Drosophila melanogaster: one gene and its partners. The protein of the gene in region 4 interacts with the protein of the main gene of each other region in a pairwise test. Each region holds a gene or a part of one and is shown on either strand. Other genes may lie near its edges.

What was found.
Region 1: the proteins of Rpt6R (region 4) and CG5026 interact in a two-hybrid assay, tested with the Drosophila melanogaster proteins (one large-scale study listed by BioGRID).
Region 2: the proteins of Rpt6R (region 4) and bigmax interact in a two-hybrid assay, tested with the Drosophila melanogaster proteins (one large-scale study listed by BioGRID).
Region 3: the proteins of Rpt6R (region 4) and Ibf2 interact in a two-hybrid assay, tested with the Drosophila melanogaster proteins (one large-scale study listed by BioGRID).

What each region holds. Positions count from the first base shown.
Region 1 is NT_037436.4:8,964,376-8,973,680, forward strand, and holds CG5026 (uncharacterized protein), read left to right. Parts: upstream 1-4,152; 5' UTR 4,153-4,539; coding exon 4,540-4,698; intron 4,699-4,801; coding exon 4,802-5,052; intron 5,053-5,122; coding exon 5,123-5,510; intron 5,511-5,572; coding exon 5,573-6,048; intron 6,049-6,107; coding exon 6,108-6,520; intron 6,521-6,573; coding exon 6,574-6,671; intron 6,672-6,727; coding exon 6,728-6,805; 3' UTR 6,806-7,377; downstream 7,378-9,305. Other genes in the region: ValRS-m (Valyl-tRNA synthetase, mitochondrial), read right to left, coding at 1-89, 158-251; CG5653 (uncharacterized protein), read right to left, coding at 557-1,987; CG5021 (uncharacterized protein), read left to right, coding at 2,594-2,617, 2,753-2,835, 2,907-3,141, 3,191-3,520; pix (pixie), read right to left, coding at 7,958-8,252, 8,310-9,026, 9,086-9,305.
Region 2 is NT_033777.3:27,285,227-27,292,035, forward strand, and holds bigmax (bigmax), read right to left. Parts: upstream 3,301-6,809; 5' UTR 3,244-3,300; coding exon 3,102-3,243; intron 2,960-3,101; coding exon 2,559-2,959; intron 2,494-2,558; coding exon 2,272-2,493; 3' UTR 2,140-2,271; downstream 1-2,139. Other genes in the region: CG3368 (uncharacterized protein), read left to right, coding at 1-801, 860-2,089; Hmu (hemomucin), read left to right, coding at 3,704-3,819, 3,889-4,094, 4,154-4,454, 4,791-5,907; CG3348 (uncharacterized protein), read right to left, coding at 6,434-6,730.
Region 3 is NT_033777.3:9,254,973-9,261,411, forward strand, and holds Ibf2 (insulator binding factor 2), read right to left. Parts: upstream 3,530-6,439; 5' UTR 3,469-3,529; coding exon 3,284-3,468; intron 3,217-3,283; coding exon 2,814-3,216; 3' UTR 2,755-2,813; downstream 1-2,754. Other genes in the region: CG16734 (uncharacterized protein), read left to right, coding at 122-337, 390-626, 691-831, 888-1,043, 1,100-1,555, 1,615-1,740; CG16736 (uncharacterized protein), read right to left, coding at 1,753-2,194, 2,315-2,706; Ibf1 (insulator binding factor 1), read left to right, coding at 4,076-4,215, 4,282-4,369, 4,660-4,731, 4,796-4,984, 5,039-5,278; ATP6AP2 (ATPase H+ transporting accessory protein 2), read left to right, coding at 5,753-5,795, 6,019-6,371.
Region 4 is NT_033777.3:30,580,180-30,587,353, forward strand, and holds Rpt6R (regulatory particle triple-A ATPase 6-related), read right to left. Parts: upstream 3,519-7,174; 5' UTR 3,345-3,518; coding exon 3,197-3,344; intron 3,142-3,196; coding exon 2,090-3,141; 3' UTR 2,019-2,089; downstream 1-2,018. Other genes in the region: CG9702 (uncharacterized protein), read left to right, coding at 161-1,250, 1,309-1,883; CG9717 (uncharacterized protein), read right to left, coding at 4,369-4,704, 4,896-5,041, 5,110-5,412, 5,758-6,889.

The DNA of each region.
Region 1 (9,305 bases), on a different chromosome or scaffold from region 4:
ATTTGCCTGGCGATGCTCCCGCTCCCAGTAAGCATTTTCCACTGGTTGTGGCTGGTATCCTGCTGCCAAGGGAAGCTCATTAGCCGCATCTAAAAGTGGAAAAAAGTGAGTTCTTTAGCCGGCACTGGGGTTTTGAATGAAACTGGAGGTAACGCACCTTTAAGGGTACTGTAGTATAGAGAGTACACCCTTGGCTGGCACAGGTACTTGTGTCTGAGCAGTTTACTGCTACAATTCCCAATTATTTGCATTTTTAATGTTGTGTTATGTTATGTCAAAAAAAATTGTAATCTTATTGGTGATGGTATAAAAACAGCTGAGGAGATAATCGATATACGGCTTATGGGCGCCAATTTCAAACGAGAAACGGTAGAGCTTTCCTCCTCAATTTTTTTTCAAACTTCATTATTTATTTGATTTGTCAAAAGAGAAACATAAAACATCTCAGAGGGTACGTATGTGAATATCAGGATCCAATGTAATTTTTTTTAATTTATAAAAGAGAACAATTTTATTAAGAAACCATAAAGAAAAGTACGATAAAAAAATATATTTTTCAGGCACTGACACTGCATGAGGTGTAATGATCAATGAGCCGGTCTGCCTCCCGATAGCCCGCCTCCACAGCTCCGTGAACGGTGGAAAAGTGATTCCTGCTAGACGCTTCTCCGGCAAAAAGGAGGCCTAAATGACCATCTTCGCCCAACACAGGAGACTCTAGATCCCAGGGGCCCGTATTCCTTTCATCGGCCATAACTCCACGATAACTCCAACTGCCACGGAAATTCGGATTCGAAAACCACGAGCTGCGAACGAAACGCTTTGGCGGCGGAATTTCGAAAGTGAGGAACTTTCGGAAAAGCCAGTACAAGCCCTCAAGGACTTTCTCATCGGACAGGGTCTCCATGTGGCGTCCATGCGGACCATTCACCCAGGCCATCAACATTCGGGGCTGACAAGTGATCATGTGTACACCGGTTATACCCTCCACCCAGAAATATTCCGTCTTTCGCAGCTCTATCAGATCCTCTTCCAGCCAAAAGCAGAAGAAACCCACCCAGCCGTCAGGAAGAGGTTGCTTCTCATACTCCAAATACAGTTTGTTCACAGTGCCCAGGGTGAGGCTGCGAATGGCATTCACCTTGGCTGCGGGCAGCGGCGGGACGAACAGTTTCTCGTGCTGCTCCTGCAGGACTCCCAGGGAAACGGTGCAGATGACGTGGTCCGCCTCGAAGTAATCCCCATCCTGGCAGCGCAGGATTACCTTACGGGGGCACGCCAACTCAATCTTGATGACCTTCATATCAAGTTGAATACGTCCTTCCAGTAGACCCAGCTCTTCTGGCGTATCCGCGCTGACCTTCATCAGCAGCCGCAGGAAGCGCCGGTAACCCTTCGTTCCCCAGTGGAGCAGCTTGTCGCCATCACATTCGTGGTACTCGATGTGTTCCCTAACGGAGACCTCGAAAAGATTGTCCGCACCAATAATAGAGCTTTCATGCTTCGCAAATGTATTCAAGGCCTCACTAGCCACATCCCTATTCACTTGGGGTAGCTCGGACTCGATCTTGCGCCAGAAGGTCTGAGTCAGGTGGGTGCCAAAGGATCCCACAACCGGGTGAGGTCCACTCGGCATGCTCTTCACAGCAATGTCGTGAATCCTGCAGGCCAACTCATGTGGAACCACCTCCTTGTTGGATCTCACCCTCTTTATGGGACTGTAATAGTCGCCTGTCTCGTGCAGGATACCCATATCCTTGACCATGTCGTATACACAATTTTGCTGCTTTCCATGACACCACTGGGCTCCCAAATCGATGACGTTGTCACCAAAATACACGGTGTTGATCCGCCCGCCAATGCGATCCTCCGCCTCCAGGATCTGAACATTCTGGAAATTGTTTTGCAGGAGTCGAGTGGCGGCGGCTATGCCCGAAACTCCTGCTCCGATTATGATTATCCTAGAGGAGGCACGGCATTTTTCCATTTTGAAACGTTGGTAGTTAAGTTCGACAGAAAGAGCAGACGATCAACGAGCTACTGATGAAGTTTGTGGGCTAACTTGGCAAGTGATGGATGCTGCATTTCAATGGCTTCCACTGCGGTTGGAGTACAACTTTTTGCACACTCTGCTGGTTTTCAGCCACAACCATGTAACATTGAGAATCCGGGTCACAGAACATAAAAGTCGTCTTAGATAATATTGCTTCGGCTTTTATTACTTAATATGATGCGTAAAAAATTATGTTTCATAAATAACTTAAAAGTGGCATTTTTTTCTCATTTGGCGCTGCTATTGCAAATAACAATTCCACAAACAAAATGAAGGGGAGCTCAATAAAAAATGTTTGCAAAATTTTCAAATACGATAGGTTTAAGCTCGATTACTTATGGTGCTGCCAACCCAATCGAAGTCGAAGAAGTGCTTCACCCCTGCGAGCTATCGACTCAGTGCGAAAACGATAGAAGGCTACGCAGGCAGAAACAACAACAACGTCCCAGGCGAAGAAAATATATTAAATCCCCTGAAAAACCACGAAAATCCATGAAAATTGCACCCAACTAGGAATTAGAAGTCACTCCCTACACCAGCATGGCATCCGCTACGGTAAGAAATGTATGTATGCCGCACTAACACCTAACAAGCTGCTTGATTGGGGTGCCATTCTGACAATACGATCCGAGGTTTTCCACGAAAACTCATATTTTACAACGAGGCAAGCCAAACTAATCCCACATACGTGTTACACAGGTGCCGCTGCTCGACGATGACACGATACCCTTTGGCGAGGAGGACGAGATGCGGGATCCCAGTCGCGCGGGTCAGAAATACACGTATGCAGAACCATAATGTTTGTTGATCAATTCCATTTACCCCAACCCAACCCAACGCGTGTACTCCACAGGCACCCGTACGTCACCTTCTTCCACCTGTTCTTCAGGGGCGCCGCCATCCTGATCTATATGTTCTGCGGTTGGTTCAGCGACTCCTTCATCACCAGCTTCGTTTTCGTGGTGCTCTTCCTGTCCGCCGACTTCTGGACGGTGAAGAACATCTCGGGCAGATTGCTGGTCGGTCTCCGCTGGTGGAACTACGTCGACGACGATGGCGTATCGCACTGGGTGTTTGAGTCAAAGAACGTGAGTCACGAGCATAGCTAACTAGATTGCCCTTGATAATGAAACGCAGTCTGAATCCTACCAGAGTCGGGTCAACAAGAACGAGCAGCGCATCTTCTGGCTGGGACTCATCCTCTGTCCCGTCTTCTGGGGCCTCTTCTTCCTGTTCGCCCTATTCGGCCTGAAGTTCAAATGGCTACTGCTGGTAATGATCGCCATTGCGCTGAATGCCGCCAATCTGTATGGCTACGTCAAGTGTAACTATGGTGCCAATAAGGATCTGAATTCCGCCGCCACAGACTTTGTGAAAACGCAGTTCTTCAAGAATGCCGTGGACATCATGACAAGGCCCAGTGGCGCCCCACCGCCAACAAATGTACGCCCGACGGGAGTCGTTTGAGCTGGTGGAGACGCCATCTACTAAGTCACCTTGCCACCGTCTGCTGCAGCGCATTCCAAAGAGTATTCGACGCTTCTTCTGGCGCGGACCACGACCTTCGATTGGCATCGCTGTCTGTGTACCATATGTAAAACTTAATTTAGCCATACTGCAATCTACCATAATCATTTCTTACTTTTACTCGGATTAAAGGACCGCATGTGCGTGTGACATGCAACCAGTATGCCACATGGTTTTATTTCGAATGGTTTAACTACAAATTTAAGAATAGTTATTAAAAGGGATTCAGATATAGCGAAATGTGTTTTATTTTTATTCTCTGCATCTTAATCTGAGTACGAAAGACGTGAAGCAAATAATTTTCATTACTGTTAGATTACTATAAATTATTTAGTTTATTTTCTTTTTTGTCATTTTAGTTTCATATATGAAACTGTCGTAAACATATATTTAAAAATGAAGCGTAAATATAATCATTCCTGCAAAACTAAACTAAATGAAATTGCAAAACAATTTAAAAATATTTTTACATATTAAAAAACCTGATAATTTTTTAGTTCTTTGTTAGTGGCAATAACGGTTCATAGGCAAAACGCAGTGTGGTAGTGGACGCCACAACAAAGCTTTCCGGCTCAGTGAGCGACGGGCACACTGGCACAAAGCACAAAACAGAACAGTCGGTCGGAAACGGAATCGAAAAGAAAGAAAGAAATGCAATCTGTGCCGTAAGCGGGGGCGTGGAACAAAAGTTTTTGCAGCCCGGAACGAGTTTCATTGTTAGCTGCAGAGCAGCAGTGCCGTAAGTCCGCCAAATCCCCGCCAGAACCGGTGACGTACGCACTGCTGTGGGTTCAAAAAAGGGGACTCGAAAGGCGGGATAACCGTGGCGAAGAAGGGCGGAGGTGGAAGGCGGCGTCGACAGAAGCAATCAAGTGGCAACAGGAGATAGCCGGGGCAAAATGCAAAAAGTTAATTAGTGGGGGCCAAATCAAATCGGACACCCCGCCGAGGGCGACACCATGGAATTCGCCGACCTTATAAAGACCCCCAAGCTGGACGGTGTCCTGCTGCACGACCCATCGAATGCGGGGGCGTCGGGTGCAACAGTTGGCACACTGTGCATCACAGGGCACCATTTGCTGCTCAGCGCCCGCCAGGAAACCAGCCAGGAGCTATGGGTAAGTGGGTTGAGGCCTGCCCACCTAATCCGATGTGCTTCGGCATCAGTGGAGCGCTCATAATTGAATTAGAAATTCATCATGCTCATCCCCCTCTTTTCAGTTGCTCCACAAGAACATCGACTGTGTGGAGAAGAAGCCTAGTTTGTCGCAGAATATCGTGGTCGGTGGGATTATCACCCTGAAGTGCAAGGACCTGCGCATCATTTCGTTGGAGATAAAGTGCGGCAAGGAGTTCTTCAACGTGGCCGCATCGCTGGAGGCACTCAGTGCCATCCAGAACACCGAACTGCTCTATCCATTCTTCTACCGGCCCATGTACTCGATCCTAGAGGACGGCTACACGATGTTTAGGTGGGTACACGGCTTCTCCATAACTAACAAATTGGCTACAATTCAATTAACCTCCCCATCCAAACGACAGGCCCGAGCTGGAGTTCGCCAAACTCATAAGCGGGGTTGGCATGGGCGGTGCGTCCTCGCCGAATGTGGCCAACATAACAATTTGCATGCCATCAACTTCGACATCGACGTTGACTGTGGGCGCCGGCATTCCCCATCCTCTGCAAAATGGCTATGCGATAGAAGCCCTTGCGTGTGGTGTTGGTGGTGTGGGAGGTGGTGCGCTTCAAAGTCCCCAGGCCTCCTGCGAGTGGCGCATCACCAACGTCAACAGAGACTTCAGCGTCTGTGCCACATATGGCGCCACGCTAATTGTACCTAAAGCAATTACGGACGAGCAGATAGTGCTCTCCGCTGCGTTCCGCGATGGCGGCCGCTTCCCCGTGCTCAGCTACAGGCATGAAAATGGCGTAAGTCATTGCATCTACATCATCAAATTTTATTAAATTAATTCAATGATTCATATTTGCAGGCCACACTAATGCGCAGCTCCCAGCCGCTGTCCATTCAGGGCATCAAGCGCTGTAGAGCTGACGAGGCTATCCTTAATCTGGTGCTGGGTCGCAGTCGGAAGGGGTTCATCGTGGACACTTGGGGTAAGGGCAAATCGAATACGGAAACTGACCTGCACTACTCGCAGTGGAAGAAGGTAAATCGTTCAATTGGAAACGTCAGTTCGCCCGCCTCTATTTTGGACAGCTTTGCTCGGCTTATCGAAGCTTGCAACGATTTGGGATGCAGTACTGATAAATGGCTATCGCGACTGGAGAACAGCGGCTGGCTTAGTCTTGTGCTGAACTCACTGAACGCCTCCTGTGTGGTGGCCCAATGCCTGGACCAAGAGGGAAGTCCAGTGTTAGTGCACGGTGCTAAGGGGTTGGACTCCACGCTTATAGTCACCTCACTGGTGCAGATCATTCTCAATCCGGACTGCCGGACTGTAAGGGGGTAAGTAATCATATTCTCCTTACCTTGAAAAAGATATTTATGCCGTGTTCCCTTTGCAGCCTGCAGGCTTTGATAGAGCGCGAGTGGATCCAGGCGGGACATCCGTTCGCCTCGCGTCATCGCTACTCATGCTATACACCAAATCAGACACGCAATAAGACCTCTGGTGCCACCTTCGTCCTATTTCTGGATTGCATTTATCAGCTTTACACGCAGTTCCCCTGCAGCTTTGAATTCAGCACTCAACTGCTGATCCTTCTATTTGAGCACAGTCACTTTTCGCAGTATGGAACTTTCCTGTGCGATTCAGAGCGGGAGAGAAACGAACTGAATGTGCACACCAGGACGACGAGCCTGTGGTCTTATTTGAACCGGCCTGATGTCCTTCAGACATTCTTGAATCCGCTGTACGAGCCTAATGCCAATGTGATATGGCCATCGGTGGCGCCCATAAGCTTAGAGCTGTGGAGTGGTATGTTTAAGAACTTAATATATGAAACATTACTCATCAAACATGCATTTTAGATCTCTATTTGCGGTGGGTGATAGATCAACGCAGCTCAGTCACAGTCATGTCGCAAATTCAGGAACTTGTCACCCGCGAGAAGGAACTCAGGACTCAGGTAAGTCCACTTGAGTATTGATAGCGAAATGCTTACTGATGACATGTATCTTTCAGGCCCTCAAGTTGCGCAAACAAGCCATGGAGCTCGGCCAGGAAGTGTCCAACCTCATGAAAAGTGGAAACGATACATAGTCGGCTACCTCAAATGTTCTCTATCTTTTAATCTCCTGCATGATATACACTTATTTTTGATACGTTCTGTTGCAAGATTTCGACAATTATTTAAGCACATAGCAAAACTAATGTTAAGTCACTAAAAGTTCCATTTACAAGAAATTATGCTGAAGGAAAAAGAAAATAAACAAGGTAATTAAATTATTGGATAAACCATAGGATCTGCTTTTGGATCAACTGAAACACTCAATTTTAGACATACATGTGTCCATTTTTACTAACTATACTTCTATTGCATAAGTTCGGCAAAACAGTAAGAAAACTCTCCTTGTAAAACGCTCTCTACTCTCAGACTCAGATTGGGATTCGAAACAGCACAATGCAACTATCAAATATTTGGGTCAATTTTTGACGCATTTACTTTTATGGAATTTTTAGCGTATAAGTCTCCAAAATTACCTATTTATAGTACTTACTTGTGTCAGTTATTTAGTGGTCAACAAGCCACAGATCAAATTAAGTATTATAAACTCAAAAGATTTGCCTTTTTCGAAAAATTGTATGTAAATTTGATTAAATCGCATAAATTTAAAGCTTCAAAAGCGTTTACATTAAAAATATGCTGTGCATGCGTTGGTATATCTAAAAACAAATATTGTAAATTATATACTTATAAATGTTTGTAGCTGTTATTCATTGTGCGTCGATTTCGTATTGTGATCAAATTTGAAATGACAGAAATTTGTATGTAATTTACATTTGTATTGTGCGTATTTTGAGTAATTATCGCTTAAGTGCAATAAATACGTGTTAATTTGCAAACGTTAGCTCTTTTAAACTCGCAGGATTCTATGAGCACCACTTTAGAAAAAAGAACTTTCAAATGCAGTTTTGTATAAAGAAAATTGGTTTATTTTTGCTAGACTCATTTAAAACAACATTCTGTTGTTTCGGTTCACTATTTATTTCGCTGTAAAAACGTATATAAAACTCACTTTAATCAAGTACAATTAATCCCCAATTTTCGATTGTACGCAATCCTCGACAACAATAACAAATTAATTTGAAAGCAAATGTGTTCTTCAACGAAAGAATGCAAAATGAACGAAGGAAAGCTGAGGAGAACATAGAGAAACGAGCTGTCCCATCGAAGTTGCCCGTGATCCTGTCTTAGTTGCAGGCTTCGTCCTCCAAGAAGAAGAACTGGCCGGAGCGTTTCTGTTCTGTGTCCTTGACCGAATTGTTTTTGTTAATGCGGGGTCTGAAGTTGTTGGGATCGCGACGGAACGTAATACCAAGCAGTTCGAGGAAGCGGTTCATGCCATTTAGCAGCGACTGCGGCGAAAAGGCTGTCGTCTTCACTGAAGGCTGACCCTCGATCACGATGACACGGTCGGCGAGGTAGGTGGCCATGATGAAATCGTGCTCCACCACAAATCCAGTTTTCTTGGCGTGCAGAATGTAACTAAAACGAGATACCATCAATATTTGTGTGCAGATTTAAAGTCTATGTAAAACATACCGTTTGATAACCTTGGCGGCCACCAGACGCTGCTCTGAATCCAAGTAGGCAGAGGGTTCGTCGATGAGGTAGACATCCGCTGGCTTGCCAAGACACAGGACCAAGGCGACTCGCTGCAACTCACCACCGGAAAGGTTCTGCACCTCCTGGTCCATGATTTCCTCAATTTTCATGGGTTTCATAACATCGGCAATAAACTGAGGATGCACGTAGGCGTCACGAATCTTATCGTGCAATAAATGGCGAACATGATTTTGGAATTTCGGGGAAATCTTCTGGGGCTTGTAGGAAATATTCAGCATAGGCAGTTCCACCTCGCCATCGGGTTGGAGGTTACCGGCCAGCATGCGAATGAACGTCGTCTTTCCTGTACCGTTCTCGCCCAGGAGCACCAGGATCTCGGAGTCGCTGAAGTGACCCTTTTCCACCGTCAACTCGAACTTGCCCAGGGTCTTGACCATGGCGGGATATACGTAGTGGTTCATGCGCTTGATCTCCTCCTCCGTAGCGGACTCAGATACTTTGAAAGTAAGTGACTCAGTGCGGAATCGCATGTTTTCGGTGGGCACAAAGCCATCGAGGAAAATGTTGATGCCTTCGCGCACAGAGAAAGGCATAGTAACCACACCGTAGCAGCCGGGAACTCCGTAAAGGCAGCATATAAAGTCAGACAAGTAATCCAGCACAGACAAATCGTGCTCCACCACAATAATAAACCTGCATATTACAGAACCACGTCATAATTTTAAACAATGGCACATTATTCATCAACTTACTTGGTGGGATGCAGGAGTGATCGAATGGTCAAGGCAGCGTTCAGACGCTGCTTAACATCCAAATACGAGGACGGCTCGTCGAACATGAAGATGTCTGCATTCTGTATGCATACCATGGCGATGGCAAAGCGTTGCAGTTCTCCGCCAGAAAGCTGAGCGATCTCACGATCACGGATGTGCGATAGATCCAGCATTTCACAAATCTTAGTCTGCAGCTCCC
Region 2 (6,809 bases), 3.3 Mb from region 4:
AAGCGATTCTTTTCACATCTTCAGCATCTGATTGAGCGGGACATCCACAGCGAGGTTTATCAACCCAAGATCTTTGCCCTGAAGTTGCTGGAAATCCTAAATAGGTCGCTATATGCAGAAGAAGTCGCAAAAAATGCAAAAATGTGCAGTCCTCAGCAGAATCAGCGCATGGGCATATTTCTCCTGGAGCACGGAGTCTTTCGTCCAAAGGAAATGGCGCAACAGCTCTTCGAAACCCTCAACAATCCACAAGGTTTCGATGATGCTTTGGACCTAACGGTCTCCCTGTTGATTCAGATGGGCCATGTGGACAGTGAAAAGTGCGTGGAGCGGTGCTTCGAACTGTGCCACACGTCTGATATGGACCAATGCTCCTTGGTTTCCCTCTACGCACAGTTGGCGGTTACAAAAGAGCAAGCTGGATCAAAGATATTTGATGAGTGCCTGAAAAGGCTTACCGGTAAATTAGATCCCTTCTTCGAAGATCCTTTGCAGACCGCCAAGAGCGGAGGACATCTCTTTGGCTATCTTTGCGCCTTGGACGAGGTGGTCAAGGCTGGCTTGGCAGTGGAGACGCCTCTGGAGGATTTGTTGCCATTGCTAGAGAGAATTCTCAGCGGCATTCTCAAGTTCCTCAATGTGGCCAACGCCCGGCGACAGGAAGAGGCAGCCACAGCAGCCAGTTTCCAGGACATGGACGAGAGTCTCCAGCTGCTGGTCAGCGAAAGCTCCTTCAAGTGTGATGGGGAGGAAGAGGCTTGTCGAAAGTACTTACTGATGAGCTTCTGGTTAACGTTGAAGGTGCGTAGATATATTTCTTAACTCTTGATAAACTTATCATTTGTTTATCCTTCTGCAGGGCTGTTGCGATCTGGCCACCAGCATTGGGTGTTACCAATTGCAAACGTCTGCCAAAACAGTTAACACCGAGACTCTGCGTCGTTGCCTCAATATTAATGTTTCCGTTTTGACGCTTTGCCGGCACAAAGGAGCCATAGAGGCGGCCGGCTTGAGCATTGGCAGACTTACCCGTGCCATCACCAGTAGCTTAGACAGCTGCGATTCGGGATTCCAAATGCTTCACGACTGCCTAGAGCGAGAGCTGCTGACTGAAAGCCGTCAAGTGAGCACCACACGACGTGGTGCCGGCTTCGCCATAATGTTCCTTCACGTGCTGAAGAACGATAATCCACGACAGCGGCTGCTGCTCCATCGCGCTGTGCAGCAGATTCTTAAGAGGCTAAATGAAAACCAAACCGCGGAGACTGTTTGTCTCGATAGCAATCACGATCGCTGGGAGGCATTGGTACTGCATTACCTTTGCGTTCTTGTGCGCGACACAGAACTGAGGCCAGCTATGAGCAAGTACTACAATGAGATTCTGCTGGTGGCCATGGAGCACATCACCAACCCCGAATGGACCATTTCGAATGCGGCACTTCAACTCTTTGGCGCCAATCTGGGCAAGCTGGTCGGCCAGCGCCAAGCTACAGAGTTTGACACACGACCCGCCTGGGAACCCAGTGAGCTGGACTACGACGAATTGGGCTGCTTGCTGCCCAAGGCTTGCGAGCACATGCTGAGGTGCTGTGATCGCCAGGAGGTCACGTCATCCATCATACTCTTTCTGGCCTTCTTGTCCAAGGTCGAGCACTTGCGTACGTCGGGCGGGAAAGAGCCAAATCCCCTGCTCATTCGCTTCCGCCGACTCAGTTGGCATTTGTTGCGGCACAAATGTGATCAGGTCCGCCAACTGGCGGCCACCTGCTTTGTGCGGTCGCACGAATTCCGCTGCGATCTGCCGGCGGCGCTGCTGGCCAGCGCCAAGTTGGCCGCGAATCTGGAGGAGGAGAACTTCTACGAGGGACTGATTTACACGCTGACATCGGGCGTGCTGAAACTAAAGCACGAAGCACGTCATGTGTGGAGCGCGGGACGTCTGGAGGGATTCCTTGAAGCGCTGCTCACCGCGCTGGATGTCACTGAGCGAGTTCGTCGCTTCAAGCCGTACACACGGAATGTGCTGCTGGAACTGCTAGGCCAGCTGGGTAGTGCGGATAAAGCGGCTCTCGTCGAGTCTCTCGGCTAGCATTAGCAAATCTAGTTTTATCTAATCTTTAATCATTAAGCCAAAAAGTTATCTTTCCTTGTCAACGCTTTTACAACTATTCAAATGACGCATTTAATGTTTGTACGCAGTAAACGTAACGAAAGTATCTACCAAACAGGGATTTCTAAAATAACCAATGAGAATATGAACTAACCGCGCGATCAGCTGAAACCCTCGCTCGACTCCTGCTCCATGGCCTGAAGTTCCTGTTTTTCCATAGCCTCCTGCGCCATTTGCTGCAAGGTACGACTGAGTATGTTGCGCAGGATGTGCGGCTTGCAGTGCTCCTCCAGCCAGGGGATAATGCCGGTGGTCAGCTGCTTAAAGTTCTCCATGGGTATGTGTTGAAATGTCTCGAACATTTCCTCCATAATGGCCTGGAACTACGGAGGAGGGTGGTGGGTGGCGATTCTAGAGGTTATAATAGAGGTAAGCGCTCCATACTTACCACTTGAAACTTGGCCTCATCGGTGAGTCGTGCCTCCTCCGGCCCTGGATTCGCCTGCTGATGCTGTAGCATGTTCTCATAGCCGTTCTTAATGATCCGTAACGCTGTTACCTCCTTTTGTAGCGCCGATCCCTCGTCCTCCTGCTTGAGTTTCTGCTGGTTAAGGTAGCCAATGTATTCGATGGACTTCTGCAGGATCAGAGCCTTGCTGAGCTTGTAGCCGGAGGAGTCGTTGGGCTGGCAGCGCGGCACCAGCTCCTGCAGACTGTCGTAGCCCTTCTTAATGGCATCGCGCCGCTTCTGCTCCGCCTGGGTGTGCGCCTCCCTTCTCCGCTCCTTGTAACTCAGCGTGGAATTGGCGGCCGCGGAATGGCGCGCATCGCCGCTATCGTCGTCGTCGTCTGCGATACAGAACCGAAACATGAGTACAATGTAATAAAATGCTGCTGATAGCGAGTAATTCAATGCCACTGCTTTATCAGCTGCCCCCGCCCCGCACTCTTGACCGATCAGCGTGACCGATCTTGACCAGCGTTCGCCCACCTGAATTGTGCGCCGAGGAGTTCGGAGTGTGCGTGCTGCCCGCACTGCTGCACCGCGAGTAGTGCTTGCTGGTGTGGTCCTGGTCGTGCTCCATGCCGAAAACGTCTTCCTTGGTGGCCAACGCGTTGTTATTATCGCTCATCGTCAACTGCGACGTTTTGGAATTCCCAAAACAAAAACACTAGCAGCGGTGTGACTGTCGCAAGGTAGCGCGAAAAGCCTTCGGTATCTGATGGTCACATTCAACATTGTGCGATAGTTTTAAGGAATTTTTAAAACAGTTATCAGGTACCAGGCTAACAGGTACTTTAATTATGATGTTATTCAACCAACTATGCTTGTTATAATTTGCATCCCTAATAACATAGTTTTTAGAAACTGCATACAATTAATTTTTGTAGCAGAGTGTAAGATGTGGTACGTTCAATCAACGAATGATAGTCATATCGATATTTCGGCCACCTCTACCGGTCCGGATGATGACTTTTACGTTTTTTTCTTGTTGAACTTTGCCGTCGTGTCGCTTTCTTCGGGGTTATTGCTTAAATTTAGCGGGTTTTTGGGCTGTAATTTGTGATCGGCGGACGCACAAGGAATCAATCATGGGCCTGCTATATGCGCTGCGCGTGAGGATCATGAACTTCATGATTTTCTTCCTCCTCATCATCCTAATGCCCGGTCTGCCGCCGCGCACCACCTTCCCCTTCAAGGACTATATGTAAGTGCCGCCCGTTTCAATTGACGTAATTCCCGTGTTAATCCTTGGAGAAATCGCCACTTCGTACAGTGTGACCCCGCCCAAAGACCTGAAGGGTGCGCTGGAATCGAACTTTCACCTGGAGGGAGCGGAGCGACTGCTGGAGGGGCGGGTCTACGGCCCGGAGTGCCTGATAGCCCGCAACAACGAGATCTACACCGGCATCCACGGCGGTGAGGTCATCAAGCTAACGTCCAACCATGTCACGCATGTCACCAAGATCGGCCAGCCCTGCGGTGCGTATTTTCGAGTCCTATAAAGGGAATTTCATTTTATAATAGTAATCCCCTTGCAGAGGACATCTACGAGGAGTCCCGGTGCGGCCGTCCGCTGGGACTGGCCTTTGATACGCAGGGCAACAACCTCATCATCGCCGACGCCTACTACGGCCTGTGGCAGGTGGACCTGGGCACCAATAAGAAGACTCTGCTGGTCTCGCCCGCCCAGGAGCTTGCCGGCAAGTCCATCAACCGCCCTGCCAAGATTTTCAACGGCGTGACCGTGAGCAAAGAGGGCGACGTCTACTGGACGGACTCCTCGTCGGACTTCACCATCGAAGACCTCGTCTTTGCCAGCTTTGCTAACCCCTCCGGCCGGTGAGTTCATCGCAAATTATAGCGACACTGTCTAATATTGCTAGAATTCAAAGTGATAGCTATTCGGAATAGGGCTACAGTGGGACCCCATTACAATGTATTTCTTTATAAAACGTGTTTTGTGACCCATTTAAGATTATTTCAAATGTTTGTAGCGGAGGAATCGAGGGAGTCACTTAATTAATCTCAATTAAGAGTCCACGCTTACTGAAGTTAGCTTAATTCTTATAATTAAGGGACAAGTTACAGAAGTATGACTGTAAGACGAACGCAAACCGGTTTCTCGATCTGGTCTTATGGTTACTCTAACGGCCTTTGCTTTCTTCTACGTTCCAGTCTCTTCAAATACAATCGCTCGAAGAATGTTAGCGAGGTGCTGCTGGACGAACTGGCTTTCGCCAATGGATTGGCCCTCAGTCCCAACGAGGACTTCATCGTGGTAGCCGAAACCGGAGCGATGCGTCTGACAAAGTATCACCTGAAGGGAGCGAAGGCCGGTCAGAGCGAGGTGTTCGTCGACGGACTGCCCGGTTTGCCCGATAACCTGACACCCGACGCCGAGGGCATCTGGGTGCCATTGGTCCAGAGCGCGGATAGCGAGCATCCCAACGGCTTCACCCTGTTCACTCGCTTCCCCAGCGTGCGCCTGTTCCTGGCCCGCATGCTGGCTTTGTTCGAGCTGCCCTTCCGCTACTTGAACAGCGTATATCCGAACAAGTTCTCGCAGCGATTCGTTCACTTCGTGGGACACATGGAGAGCATCACTGTGCTGGCGCCCAAGCGAACGACTGTCGTGCGTGTGGACTGGAACGGCAACATTGTGGGCTCGCTGCATGGCTTCGACAAGTCGGCCGCCACGGTATCACACGTCCTGGAGTTCCAGGACTTCTTGTTCTTGGGCTCCCCCACCAATCAGTACCTGGCGCGTGTCAAGTCGCCAAAGGCCAAGCAGCCCACGCTGAAGGTGCGCAATGTTCGCGTCGAGGGCGAGGGCTTGGAGGCGTCCATTGGTGTGCCACCCAGCAAAGCCACTCCTAAACCCAAGGCGGCTCCTAGCACCACCACTCCGAAACCCACTACCACAACGACAACTACCACGCCGAAACCCACTACCAAGACGACAACTACTACAACCACGCCAAAGCCCACTACCACAACGACAACCAAGAAGCCAACGACCACTACCACCACTACGACAACCACGCCGAAGCCAACAACTACTAAGCCGCCGACAGCTAAGCCATCTACGACTACAACAACCACCACTACTCCTAAGCCAACTACTACTACTACTCCTACTACTCCTACTCCAGAGCCTTCTAAACCGAAGGTCAAGCGCACAGTGCCTGAGAAACCCGCGCCCGTTGAGGAGGATATCCCCTCGGACACACAGCCACCCAAGAAGGAGAAGCTCAAGGTCATCAACAAGCAAGGCGTCAATGTGGAGCTTTAAGATCGCAGACGCATCAGCTTCCTCCTGAGTTAATCGGGCATATTCCCGGACGCGAGATTAGTTTCTTCACGCAGTCAAAACCTATTAGGATTATTATCTTTTTCCCTCCAACATCTCAACCACTTTTGGGGAATTTTCAAAGGTTTCTTATTTATCATGCCCCAACTCAGGCTGTCGAAACCAGTTAATTTTAGTCGAAAGGTAGCTAAATTCAGACTAGCCGAGGGCCTTGCTCATATGATCCTCGACGGGCAACGCTTTATATGTTGTAGACTAACATATAATTCTGTTTTGCTTAGGCACTATAAACATTCCATTCCTTTTTACAACCGGAAGTGCATTCCATGTAGCTAAGTTAATAGTAAACAATGCCCCAAAATTGTTAAACTCGAGCAACTTTTGATTTTGTACTGATTTTTTTTCTTATTTTCATTAAAAATAAAGGTATTTTGTAAAAATAGACGTAAGCCTAATGAGGTTGGTTGTCTTAGACTAGCATTAAATTAAGTTTAGCCGTAAGATATCACTAATTTGTGGACACCGATTGACTGATCTTGGCTCGGCCAGCCGGCTCCTTGGGATCCGTCCAGGCCCAATCGGCATAGTGGACGCAACGGCCGAGTTCCTCGGAGTAGAGCTGCGACTGCGGACAGCGCTGGAGACGAGCCCGTGTGCCCTGCTTATCGCACACCCAGTAGGCCGTGGGATCCCAGTAATTCCGGAACATGCGGTTCACCTCATCTAGACCCTGGCAGCTGGGCTCGCCATTGTGCTCATGCGGCCGGCGCTTCTGAATGGGCAGATGTGCTGATGCGGTAGGCATTTTGTTCAAGTGATTGGGTTCGGTTTTTTGGGGAATTCTGAAATCAAAACCGGAACTGGGCATTAGTCCACGATGTCAG
Region 3 (6,439 bases), about 21 Mb from region 4:
TGTTAAAAGTTATCTAAAAAATTCTGTTAAATCGATAGTTGCCGAGTGTTATCGGATTTGGCCGGCTTTTCTGTTTACGTTTTGGATGCTACATAATTTAAAAGAGATTTTCGAAAACAAAATGACTTGCGATGATACCACCGAAGCGCTCGCCACTCACATGTGTGAGCTGTTGGAGTTTTATATGCTGCCGGAGCTGAAGGAGGACCTGGACAACATTCAGCTGGAGACGTCGCAATTCGACAGCTACCATTCCCTACTTATCCAGGATCTGCCAAAGCTCTACGATTTGGTGCAGGAATTCCTCCTGAAAAGTGGTGATGCAGGACACGAAGAGGTTGTGCTTTGCAAACACTCAATTCCACGACTACAATCTAGTTAACTTTCAGCTAAGATTCAAGCTCCTCCTGCTGATTTGCGAATTGACAGCTTCGCCTACAATTTACCAACTAAAGGACGACTCTGGTAATCTCCTGAAGTATGCTAATGATTTGGCTAGTAAGCTGTCTTCCCATTGGTGGGAGTCGACGGATGATCAATTCCTGAAATACTACGAGAAGAAACTGCACAGGGATTGCTGGAAGAGACAACTAGGAGCTGTGCATGGTTTCGGCAGATATCTAGAGGTATACACTAACAGACAAATATTTATCCAGATAGTCCAGTTTGTTCACTTACTTTATCCCGCAGCTTCGTTACGGAAAGAAATCCGCAATGTCCACCCAAATGTTGGCTTTTGCACTATCCGTGGGTCTTAATGTGCGCGAATGCTATGATACTATCTACAAGCAACTTGGGGTCAAGATCTTCTCAGTGATGTTAAAATTTAGCGTACGTGTTAGACCACTTTAGCGCCAAGACCTTCAATGAAACACTTCATCCTTCAGGACTCCAAGGACATTCAGGAACTGAACGTGCACAGTGTGATCTATGACCATGCCCTCAAGGATGTCTACAACATGGACTCAATTGAAGCCATCGAATCTGTTTGGAACTGCCTGTATTTCTGTCTTGATCACTTTGTAGATCTAGATGCTTTCACGGTGTGTACCTTGAAACTTACTCTAGTTACTGAACATAAATATGATGGCAACTTTAGTGGAACCAATGCGACGACATGCTGGAACGCCTCATTCAGAACGTGACAATGGCCTCCAGCCCAAAAGTTTTAATCTGCCTGCTGCAGTATATCATCCGATTAGGATACTACTTCACCATCAATCGCAGCGATGTGAAAACTGCTTTGGCCATGGATATATGCGAACCAGATAAATTGGTAGCGTGTCGGGACGTATGCCTTGCTCTAAATGTTAGCACCAGCTATCGTTGGGCCAAGGCCATCCTACAAATGCTTGTCCTGGAGTCGAGCAAGCTGCTCCAAGGTGTCGAGGTATGCACTGCTTTACTGGATCAACTGCTAAGATGCTATCTGGTTTGCATCATGCCTATTCCTCTGCAAGCTTTGCATCCGCACCTGCCGGAGTTTTACGGGAAGTTTGTGGCTGTGTTAATGGAATGTTTGGTGGCCCACGAGAAGGCACCTCCAGTTCTAAAAGTATGTTATTATGTCTATATATATTTCTGGTTACATCTAACAGATCAATTTTTTCCCAGCTCGTTTCGCGGTTCATCGAAGTCTTTAGCTTCCAACTGGAAAACGGGATAACCGAAACAATGCCCGCCCAACTATCAGAATTCAAGGAGGCTCTGTCAATTGTGCACCACAAGATTTGTGAATAAATATGGGGGTCTTTATGTTATATAGCGATCTAGTAAGAAGCGATATACAAACGTTGCCAAAACAGTATGTGGGATAAGGGCCATTAGTGCCGGTTTCCATCCAAAAAAGAAGCCCTTGTAGCCATGTTTTCGGATAATTTTCCGATACAGATATGGATAGGAAGTGCGGCCATAGTGTGAGGATTCGTTTAACGTTAGAGTAGCCAACGCATCCACTGGTGTCATAATGACTGTGATAATACTGCCTGTTAGCGCCATAGTTATGAGATCGCTAAGCCACGGCTCGTCGAGTCTGTGGAACCATGATATCACTGTATGGACCTTATCACTAATAGGAGTATACAGCACGGCCACGGCTGTGCTACTAATCGAGTTTATTTTCCAACCGGTAAATAGGTAAGTAAATCCTCCCTTCGCGTACATACATTTGAGTCCTCTCCAGAAATTTCGATAGCTACAAAAAAGGGTTAACTTTCATAGCTTTGGAAGATTAAACGATACACATATAGATATTTGCTGGTTTCAAAATTAAACCGGAAAATGCCTATTTATGTTTATTCGGCCATATTCTTACTTGCGCCTCTCGTAGGATCCGCGCGTAAGATCAGCTTGCCGAATGACCGCCAGCTTGGCGAACGGTGTTGCCAATACGCCGCCCCAAAATCCGGTTATACCCAGGACCATGCTAGTGTTATACGGCTGCAGCATTAGGACGTACTTGTTATCCTGTAAGTTGTAGAACAACGTGTACGTTGACATCGTGTGAACAGTACAGCGTAGACAAGCAGCCACAATGCCGTAATAAAATCCGGGTAATCCATGACGGGCCATCAGCCGGAACATATGGTTTATGCTTAAACGGCTATGGTGGATTACGTTCGCCTGCATATTCACACGAACTAGCTCCATGGGATGCGACAACAGTTGGGCCGTAGTCTTAATCAGCAGGCCGACGTAGACGGGCATCTTTATAAATTGTTCAATCGAACTCCCCGCATCACTATTATTCATTATCTAAATAAATTTGTATATTCTCAAGAAATTTAAAATGTAGTGTACTTAAAAAGCTTAGGCTACTCGCATTCAGCACGCAGTTTGGCGATCTCCAGCTGTGTCTTTTTCGCCTCCAACAAGGTGACGGTGCGTTTCAGTTCGGATATCTCGTTCATCTTGGTAAAGTACTCGGATTTGACCACCAGATACTCCGTTTCCGCCTTGATCAGATCCTTCTGCAGTCGATTGGCGTCGGATGACGGGATCACCAGTTGATCCAGATCGGTCAAGTAGCTCACCAAGTTGGATTCCTGATTGCGTGCACTGCTATCATCCTCGTCGATCAGTTTGTCCAGTAGAATATTCGAAGTGAAGTCAATTGTGGAGCCGGAAGAGCTCTGTTCTGCCGGAGCGGCGTCCGTAGCCTCCACCTTAATACCGAATTCAGCGGTTAGATCCTCCCGGAACTTGAGACATGACTTCCTGTATCCACATACATACATTTTACGGACTGTACTTGCAAATGAGCGGGAAAAATTATAATACATACCTATGGATAATCAGCCTGTCTATGCTGGTGTTTGATTGGCATTTCCGACAGTGGGTGCACAGCGCTCGGTACTTCTTCGGCTCCCCATCCTTGCCGCCCTTGAACGCGGGTAGAAAGCCCAGTTTCTTCCAAGTTTCATCCTTCGAAAGGCCCGAGGGTCGCTTGGCCTTTTTTGCTTGCGACATTTTTACATACGGTTTGTGTTAAATTACGTGACAGTGTTGCTGCTGTAAATTCAACCGATGTATCGATAACATGCCATCGAATTCTATCGATGGTCGCTTGCATTTGAATATTAATTATATTTTTACTTTTGAATCATCTGTGAAATGACTGAATTGTAAAAAATGACTTTGTCTGGGTCATAAATAACAAATTTTTGAAAAGAATAAGTTTAATATTTAGCTTTGTATATTTAACGATTAATTAATCGGGCAGTAAATAGTACCATGAATGTATCTGAAAATATATGCGTGGAACCTTTAAAAAATAGACTATATTGAAGGGCGTTCATATATTACAAATACATATAAGTAAAATTAAGAAGCAAATCCTTTTAAAAGTTTACTACTTCACCCGTTATATACATATAAAATTATTTCTGATCTTTATTAAATATCGTTTTGACTAAAAGAAACGCATCGAACTGATCAATATCAAAATGGTTTTATCGATATGTCGATACATGTCTATCGTATGCAAGCGTGGATTTTACATGCATCTGTAGTGAAGCCATTTTTATTTGCATCGTGTATAGTACATTGGAATTTACTGCGATTGTTGTATTTTAAAATGCCCCGAAAGAAGTCCGAGGATTTTTACAGAACCCACGGATTTACCGCCAATTTGGAGAATGGCAAATACTCGGCCACCTGTCACTTCTGCGAAAAAGTACTCCAAAATACGGCGCTATCCCGGCTATCGTTACACAGGTAACCATACAAACATACACCAAACATTGTGTTTACATGCGTCAAGTAATTCTCATTAAATTGTAGGCAAACCTGCGATGCCCGGCGAAGTAGAAGCGCTGTAGTGTACACTTCTGCCGACGAGAAGGATCATGACGAGGCTCCTAGGATAAAGGTAATTCGATGCTTCCAATTTGGATACATTGGATGTATGTATATGTCTGGTGTAGGACGTCAGTGGACAAATGCACTTCAAAATAAATCCCAAAGATACTTTGCACACTATAATGTCAACCCCAAGTAATTTGACAAATATTCGGTTCGAACTTTGTCCGAATACAATATATAGTGCTTAATGATTTGACTTTTGAAATTACTAACCCATATCGTCTCATATGAACATTCATATGTAAATTAAATGTTACTTATATATCGCTAATGCTCTAAAATATATTTTTTATGCAGATCCAGAAGATTTCGGGCGACGATGATGGCGGCCTGGATAATGCCAACGAAGGCAAGGAGATCATTGTTAAGGTGAGTAGGTGAAAAATGCGTAAACTAAATCAAATACTTACATTATGGTTATTTTTCATTCCAGATACAACAAATTCTGGACGATGCTGACGAGGCTGAGGCGCCCAAGGAGCAACCCAGAGTGAAACGAGAAATTCGCAAAAGGAAACTGACCAAAACGGAAGAGTCTGGCGAGCAAAATTTGGAATTTGAAATTTCCAACGTTGAAATTAAAAATCCCGAATACTCTGAGTACCTGGACGAAAGCAAAGAAGTAAATATTCACAATTTGATAAGTATCTTAGACATTTTAACGATTATCGAACAGCATTACATATTGCAGCAAAACCCGGATGACTTAGCCAATGGATCGGCGACGATCATCGAGGCCAGGCCAAGAAATGGTTTAGCTGCATTGCGAGCGGAAAAGGCGCGAGCCGAGATCAGTCAGTTCCAGAGTAAGACCAAGTTTCTTAAAACGGAAACGGACAATCTAAAAGTAGAGCGCACACTGACTTTGCTTAAGATTCAGAAGCTTCGATTGGAAATCGACGCCCTACGCGATTAAAATGTATTTTAACTATAGATAACTTTTAAATGTCCGCATGGTGAACCCTTAATTTTTGTTAAGATGACGAAAATGTCTGTCTTGAATTCAACATAGATTTATTACATTTAACTTTGTAAAGGTGATTACAAAATACATTATTTTAAGCCTGATTACTCGAATCTTTTTATTAAATAATAATGTAATAATGCAATGCTTACAAGTGTTATTAAAATCGATGTAATCTAATGCTTACATACATAAATATTACATACATCAAAATTATTGAATAAATAAAAATACATAATAAATAAAACTAGAAATACTAGTACAATCGATAGTTCGCACTCTTCGACAACCCTACTGATACCCATTCGATAACTGACCCCAAGCAACCCTGTTCATCACATGATAGTCAGGGTGATATCGGGGAAGAGAAAAGGTTTTCTTTGCAGTCGTTCGTCATATGATTAAAAGTCCAGCGGAAAACTGAAAATGTTGAGAGTTTTCGTGATTTTCTCGCTGTTTATAGCGGCCAGTAAGTAGATCTACCATCTATAATCAAGTAAAATGCATGCGCAGCAAGTGGAAAGCGGTCACAAAGTGGATATTCTGTACTCATCGATTCCTCTTTGGGGGTGGTGACACCCAGAACTCGGGACTCCAAAGGGCTCCCCACATGCATGCGCAGAATCTTGGACAAAGGAGACGAATATGTTAGATTCTACAGAACTTATGAGCTACGTCTTCCTATTTTGCAGTCAATGCCTCTGGCGAATTCACCGTGCTGAACCGTCCCAAGGCAATCAGTTTCAAGGGCAACGATGCACTGGAAAGCCACTACGTGGGTGATGTACTCTACGCTTCCATGGGCAACGCCGTCAGCGGCGATACCAACTGGAACGGACTGACCATCAACGATCCCTTCAACCTGGCCAAGGGCGTCATTCTGGTGCATGTCCAGGGCATTGGTCACGTGACCACCGCCGGCAACGTCAAGACCTACGAGCTGACAGGCTCCGGAACGGACGCCTCTCTGAACGCCCTGGCCGCCGAACTGGAGGCAGCCAACGAGCCCGTCTGCGATATTAACTTTGAGCAGTTCGACGATGGCGTAAGTGGTGTCTTAAAGGGGAAAAGCACATTTCGTTAGTCAGTTAGCTAATTTGTCAAACCGCAGAA
Region 4 (7,174 bases):
ACGGAAAAGAACCGAGTTAAGGTGCAGCTGACGGCTTGATCATTGATTGTTAGGGCGTCTCAGTAGAAGCAAGTTTCAGCGGTTAAAATTGCACTTCAGATTCCTCTGATCCTGTAGATCCTTTGACCTATCAAAGAGTAACTCTGCTTCTCTCCAACAGTATGGCCTGTATGGATCCTTCATGGGCTGCTTCGTATATGTCCTTTTGGGAACCTGCAAGGACAGCACGATTGGTAGCACAGCGGTGGCTTCACTCATGACCTTCCAGTTCGCCCAAGGATCCTGGCAGAGATCCGTACTGCTGACCTTTCTGACCGGCATTATAGAGATTCTGATGGCCATCTTCAAGCTTGGATGTTTGGTGGAGTTCGTTTCTGGACCGGTGAGCGCAGGATTTACGAGTGCCGTTGCCTTGATTGTGTCGACGTCCCAGATGCGTTCGATGCTGGGTGTCAAAAGTGATGGTGGATCCTTTTTGGCAACGTGGATAAGCATGTTCCGGGATATCGAAAACGTGCGCGTAGCCGACACCTGTTTGGGCTTTGGATGTGTTATCCTGCTTCTGGCCATGAGGAGTCTCGGAAAGTTCACCATCGGTCCAAAGGACGAATCGAGAAGGAACGGGTTCCAGCGAGTAGTGAACACGGTGATCAAGTTTCTGTCCACCTCGAGGAATGCCTCAGTGGTTATTCTGTTTACCGCTGTTACCATGTACCTGGATGCCAATGGAACGAATCCTTTCAGACTAACTGGAAATATTCCCAAGGGAATGCCCACGCCCTCACTTCCTCCGTTTTCCATCGAACCGCAGCCCGGCAACGAAACAGCTGGGATCCCTGCTGTTGAGGGACAGACTTTTCCTGAAATGGTGCAGAGCTTGGGATATGGACTAGTTATCGTTCCCCTAATGGCCCTACTGGAAACCATGTCGGTTTGCAAGGCCTTCGCCAAGGGTAAACAGATAGATATCACCCAGGAAATGATTGCCTGTGGAGTCGGCAACATTGCTACCTCCTTGTTCTCAGGATATCGATGCAATGGAGGATTGGCCCGATCGGCGGTGAATAATGCCAGTGGCTGTCGCACCAATATGTCCAACCTGTACATCGGTGTTATCGTAGTGCTCGCCCTGAACTTTCTCACCGAATACATCGCCTTCATTCCCAAGGCGGTGCTGGCAGCGATTATTATATCGGCAGTGATCTTCCAGGTTCAGTACCAGGTCGTAACGCCCATGTGGCGCAGCAAACGTGAGTTGAGACTTCCTTGATTAGTATTTATATTCCTAAGTTACCTTCAACGTTGCAGGTTCCGATCTAGTGCCTGGCATCCTGGCCTTCGTCACCTGTTTGGTACTGCCCCTGGAAATTGGAATTATGGTGGCCATTGGTGTGAATCTTCTCTTTATCCTGTACTATGCAGCCAGGCCAAAGGTCACGCTGGAGCAACTGGAAACCCAACAAGGTATCAGATTCGTGAAGATCACCCCCGACAGATGTCTGATCTTTCCTTCGGTGGAGTTTGTTCGAAATATGGTACTGAAGTTGGGCAGCAAATCCACATTGCCAGTGGTCATCGATTGCACCTATATCTATGCTGCGGATTTCACAGCCGCCAAAGTAATATCCTCCATTGTGGACGACTTCCGCCGGCGTCAGCAAAAGATCATATTCTTCAACTTGAAGCCCAGTGTAGTGAGTGTCTTCGAGGGATTGAACACGAGGCTGGTGCTTTGCTACAACACCCATGCCCTCAACCAGGAACTCCGGCCCGACGAGCCGGATCTTTCGAGGTCCGTGGACTCACTCGACCACGCCGAGTCCGGAAACGGAACTAGTGAATGCGTGAGCATGGCCAGCACTCTTTCACTAGCTAGAAGTTAGTCTTACAACGCCCAAATAAAATTAGCTAAGTTATATCTATACCATTACGAACATTAATCTAGTAGTTTCACTTGAGTAAAGTCTTTGTTTTTACACTCCTGTCCTTTTCTATCAAGAATATACTACAAAACTTGTATTATTTATATCAACTATTATATTCAGTCTGATAATGGAGCTTTCAAATGTTTTAAAATTAGTTATATAAGCTATTTCCAGAACTTTCTGATGGACATGTTCTTCTCGGAGTCCTTCATCATTACCTTGGAGACGGCCATTTCAAAGTCCTCCTGGGTGACATGGACCCGTCTTTCCCTCAGAGCATACATTCCCGCCTCGGTGCAAACACCCTTGACTTCAGCACCAGAAGCCCCCGGCATTTCTTCAGCAATCTTGCGAAGATTGATGCCTCTGGTGAGGTTCATCTTGCGAGAATGTATCTTCAGGATATCCAATCTGGCCTCTTCGTTTGGTGGCGGAAACTCGATCTTGCGGTCAATTCGACCAGGACGCAGTAATGCCTGATCCAAGACATCGATGCGATTGGTGGCCATGATCACCTTAATGTTTTTAGTAGCCTCGAAGCCGTCCAGTTGGTTCAGAAGCTCCAGCATGGTTCGCTGGACCTCCGAATCCCCCGTTCCGGTTTCCAGTCGAGCGGAACCAATCGAGTCGATCTCGTCCATGAATATTATGGATGGAGCGTGTTCCCTAGCCATCACAAAAAGCTCCCTTACCATTCTCGAACCCTCGCCGATGAATTTCTGAACCAGTTCCGACCCTGAAACCCGTATAAAAGTGCACTCCGTGTGATGGGCTACAGCTCGGGCTAACAGGGTTTTCCCAGTTCCAGGCGGTCCGTAGAGGAGCACTCCCTTTGGCTGGGTAATGCCCAAGGCGTCAAATAATTCCGGATGCTTTACAGGCAGCTCAATCACCTCCTTGATCTCCTGGATCTGCTTGTCCAAGCCACCCACCATTTCGTAGGTGGAGTCGGGCACCTTTTCCACCAACATAAGGGATACTAATGGGTCCACCTTATTGGGCAGAATTTTGTGAAGCGTGTAGCTCTCGTTTCGCAGGGCCACCCTGCTGCTGGGTGTCACATCCTTAATATTGATGGTCTTGTCCACATCCACTACATACTTGCCCTCGGGATGAACCTTCACAAGGACCTTATTCTTGTCCATGGGCTTCACAACCTCCGCAATATAGCTCCCCTGCTCCTGGAGCAACTGCAGCTCCTCGCGCAGCAAGCGAACTGTGGATAAGGCAGGATAATCTTATAAAGGATATATTCATTCTAAGAACCTTACCCTTGAGGTTGAGTTCATTTCTCTGAGCCTGCAAACGGAGCAAGTTCTTTTGGCGTTCGTTCACAGTGAACTGAAGCTCTGATATTTTCTGCGTATAATATGAATGAAAGCCTTCGGAACCCTCTGGGATTCCTACGTCTTTGCTCATCTGGTAAAATTAATATTTCTTCTGGAAAAAAAAATCACTTCAAAAAAGGCTAGCTAGTAATTTATTACGTTGAACTGCAAATTGTTATTTCTTTCCTTGTATAGCGCTCAACAACTTCCCGAGCTATTGATATAATTTTGCTTATTTTTTTGAACGAACTGAATCCGGCTGATGAGACGACAGTTTTTACGCAGTGCTGGGAAATTTTGACAAGTTAGGGATGGAAACTTCATTTCACACTTTAACTTAAGGGTTCTTGAACAGACTAAAAATTTTAAGATAAGTCGTATTATTGCCACACGTTTCGTAAATATTATTTTATTATAGGTGTCAAACATATTCATTCAATCTTATCTCGAGTAATGCTTTCTTGTTATTGATGCCTTCGAACCAAAAAATTTACTTCCCACACGAAGCACCAAATAAAATCACAGCATAGTTTGAGATTAAAGACACCCAGAAATCATGATGTTGTTTAGATATAAAGTCTATCAATCTTGGAATAAATCTTTAATAAAGCCAGTAGTTGGTAACAACGTATAATACCTAATGAGAGTGTTTTATTTCCACTTTCTTGGCCAATCAAGTAAAACTCTTAACGCCACTTAACTATTTTATATTTACTTGATTTATTTAAGTACTTATGCTAAAACTCGCCGTTCGCTACCCGAAAATAATACTATGTTCAGCGGCAAAATCGCGGGTGGGAGGAGCCCTGACTCTGGAATTCACAGCGTTTCGCCGTTAGAGGCCAAATAAATAATATTGTGCAGATATCTGCGAAGATTGCCACATCTTAAATGCTAATTAAGGTGAGCTGGGCTAGCCGTGGAATGGTAATGGTACCTTCAACTAAGGCGATGAGCGTGGGCAGCCCACATCTAGATTTAGTCGCTGGCCTCGGTGGCAAGACTAAGCTAGTACTAGGTCTAGGACAGAGACTAAGCTACGAACTAGACTTGGGCTAAGACTATCGCATAACGAGGTTGCAGCGTTGTTCCCCCTTCGGACTTCTTTGGATCCCTCAGATCGGGGGCGACTTCTCCGCCAGCTTGGCGTGCAGGGTGTTAATATCGTATATGACCACCAGATCCTTGTTCAGACCCTCGAAGACCTGCGCCACTCGCGGCTGCAGGTTGTAGAAGAACAGCGGCTGCTCCCGCAGCTTAAAGTCCATCACCATGGTGGATATCACCTTGGCGGCCGTGAAGTCCGCTCCATAGATGTGGGTGCAATCGATGACCACCGGCAGTGTGGACTTCTGACCCTGCTTGTTGATCACCTTGCGCACAAACTCCATCGAGGGGAAGATCAGACAGCGATCGGGAGTTAGCATTAGGTATTTCAGACCAGTAGTTGTCTATAAAGATAGGTCGGCTTATTAATATCATAGGAATCATCTATGGCATATCAACTAGCAGTATATTAATTCCTACAGTAAGATGAACATGAGATAAAAATGCCATCCGAATCTTAAGAATCTGTAGCATACTTTCAGCCACTGAAGCTATTCTAGGTATAGATTGAGATACTTCGGATGGAATGACTCACCGCCAGCGTTTCGATGCGCAACTTTGGCCGGGCTGCCTGGTAGAGGATGAAGACCACATTGATGCCGATGCCCACGAGGATGCCCAGTTGCAGGGGCAGAACCAGACAGGCGAAAAAGGCACCCAGGCCGGGAATGAGATCGGTTTCTGTGGCAGGAGAAATACACACGTATGGTAACAAACATGTGAGTGTGGTTTATTTATTTTCAACTCACTTTTACTGTGCCACATGGGCTTGATCACTCGGTACTGGACCATGAAAATAACCGCCGCAATAATAATGGAGGCCAGAGCCGCCTTAGGAATGTAGTAAAAGCAGGGCGTGAGGTACAACAGGGCAATAATCACTATCACGCTGGTGTAGAGATTGGACAGCTGGGTCCTCACTCCACTGGCATTTAAGATGGCTCCCCTGGCGATGCCGCCATTGCTCCGAAGACCCTGGACAAAGGAGTTGGCCACGTTGCACACTCCAGAGGCTATCAGCTCCTGCGTGGCATCTGTGGGTTTGCCATCAGCTAAAAGGAAAAAACCAAACGGGGAAAATATTACAATCCAGTCAAATGAAATTCGAAAGCAAAACAATATGTTCTTCCCCAAGGAATAAAGCGACTGACCTATTTTAATATTTGCACGTGTCATTCAAAAGTTGACACTAATTTGGGACAACAAGGGTTATAAGGGTATAAGGGTTATAAACAAAAACTCGTTGCTTTCGTCAATCCGATTTAAAATTAGCTTTAAATATAAACCAATTACTGATGATTCATATCCTACTTGAATTTTGAAGATTCTTGAACTCGTTGGGGAAGAACGAGATCCAACTCATGAAAATGACGATATCAAATAAGCGGACAACTCACCGAAAGCCTGAACAACGGCCATAGTTTCCAGAAGAGCAATCAATGGAACCACAATGAGCCCAGATCCCAGGGTGCTGACCATGTCCCAGAAGCTCTGGGCCTCCTGAAGGACTTCTCCTGTGGTTTCGTTGACAACGGCATCCATGTGGAAGGGTGGTGGCTGAAAGGAGGGCAATCCCTTGGGCACAAAGCCAACTGTCTTCACGAGATTCTCCTTGCCGTTGACAAACAACCAGTAACCCAGGCCAGCAGTTCCACAGACCAGCAGGGCATTGCGGGCAGTTCCGATGGTCCAGAAAATGCCGGTCAGAAGCTTTTGCGCTGTGGTTTTTCCCTCCTTGGGACCCAGGGTACAACTGGCCAGGGCTCTCAGGCTCAGGAGCAGAGTAATGCAGACGATTCCCAAGATGAAGTCCGGCCAGCTGATGTTGTGTATATCGTTCACAATGCTAATCCACACTTGCAGGAAGGTGTTGCCACTTGTTTTGATGCCCAAGAAGTCCTTCATCTGGGAGCTGAAGATGATCAAGGACACGGCACTCGTGAATCCCGCTCCCACGGGACCAGAAACGAAATCGATGAGAAATCCCAGCCGGAAAACTCCCATCAGGATCTCAATGAGACCTGTGAGGAAGGTTAGCAAGGTGGCTATCTGCCAACTGCCTCCAGCGATTTGAAAGGACAGCAGTGCTGATATGGCCGTAGGTCCAATAGGCACATCCTTACTGGACCCAATAAATATGTATATGAAGCAGCCCAGGAAGCAGGCGTACAGGCCGTACTGCAGATCCAGTCCTGCTATTCCGGCATAGGCCAGGGCCTGGGGTATCACCGTCAGGGCCACCGAAATGCCCGCCACTATGTCACCGAAAATATAATCCTTTTTGTACTGGGGCAGCCACACCAGGATGGGGAATCGCTTGTACAGCGTTTTCTTCCTGAAGATGTTGGACCAGAGGTTTGAGCAACAGCTTTGAGTTCCCTCCAGGCAGCTCTCATCGGGACCCTGCTCCTCCTGCACAATGCAGTCGCGCGAGGTGTGGTACAGCGTGTTGGTGGGTATGTCCAAGGACACCTCGGATCCACCATTGAAGCCACTATTCGTGTGACCGCTGTCAGCTCTTTGGCTCATTTTGCGTGGATTATTTACACTGTATACTGAACGTGTGGGATTTGTGCTTTCTCGTGGGACTTAGTTTCCTTATTTTCTAGGGCTTCATGGCACTCTCACTCGAGCAGCGAACACTCTCCGGGAAACCGATACCCTGATCTGATCTGATACCAAAGACCGAAACGAAACGAACCGATCGCGGGGCCATCCACTGCGGGAATGATTTGGAGCCGCGGAAAGAGCAGCACTAACAACCGCCCGCCTGCTGGGACCCGATTATATAGTAAATAGGCATCGCTCGCGAAT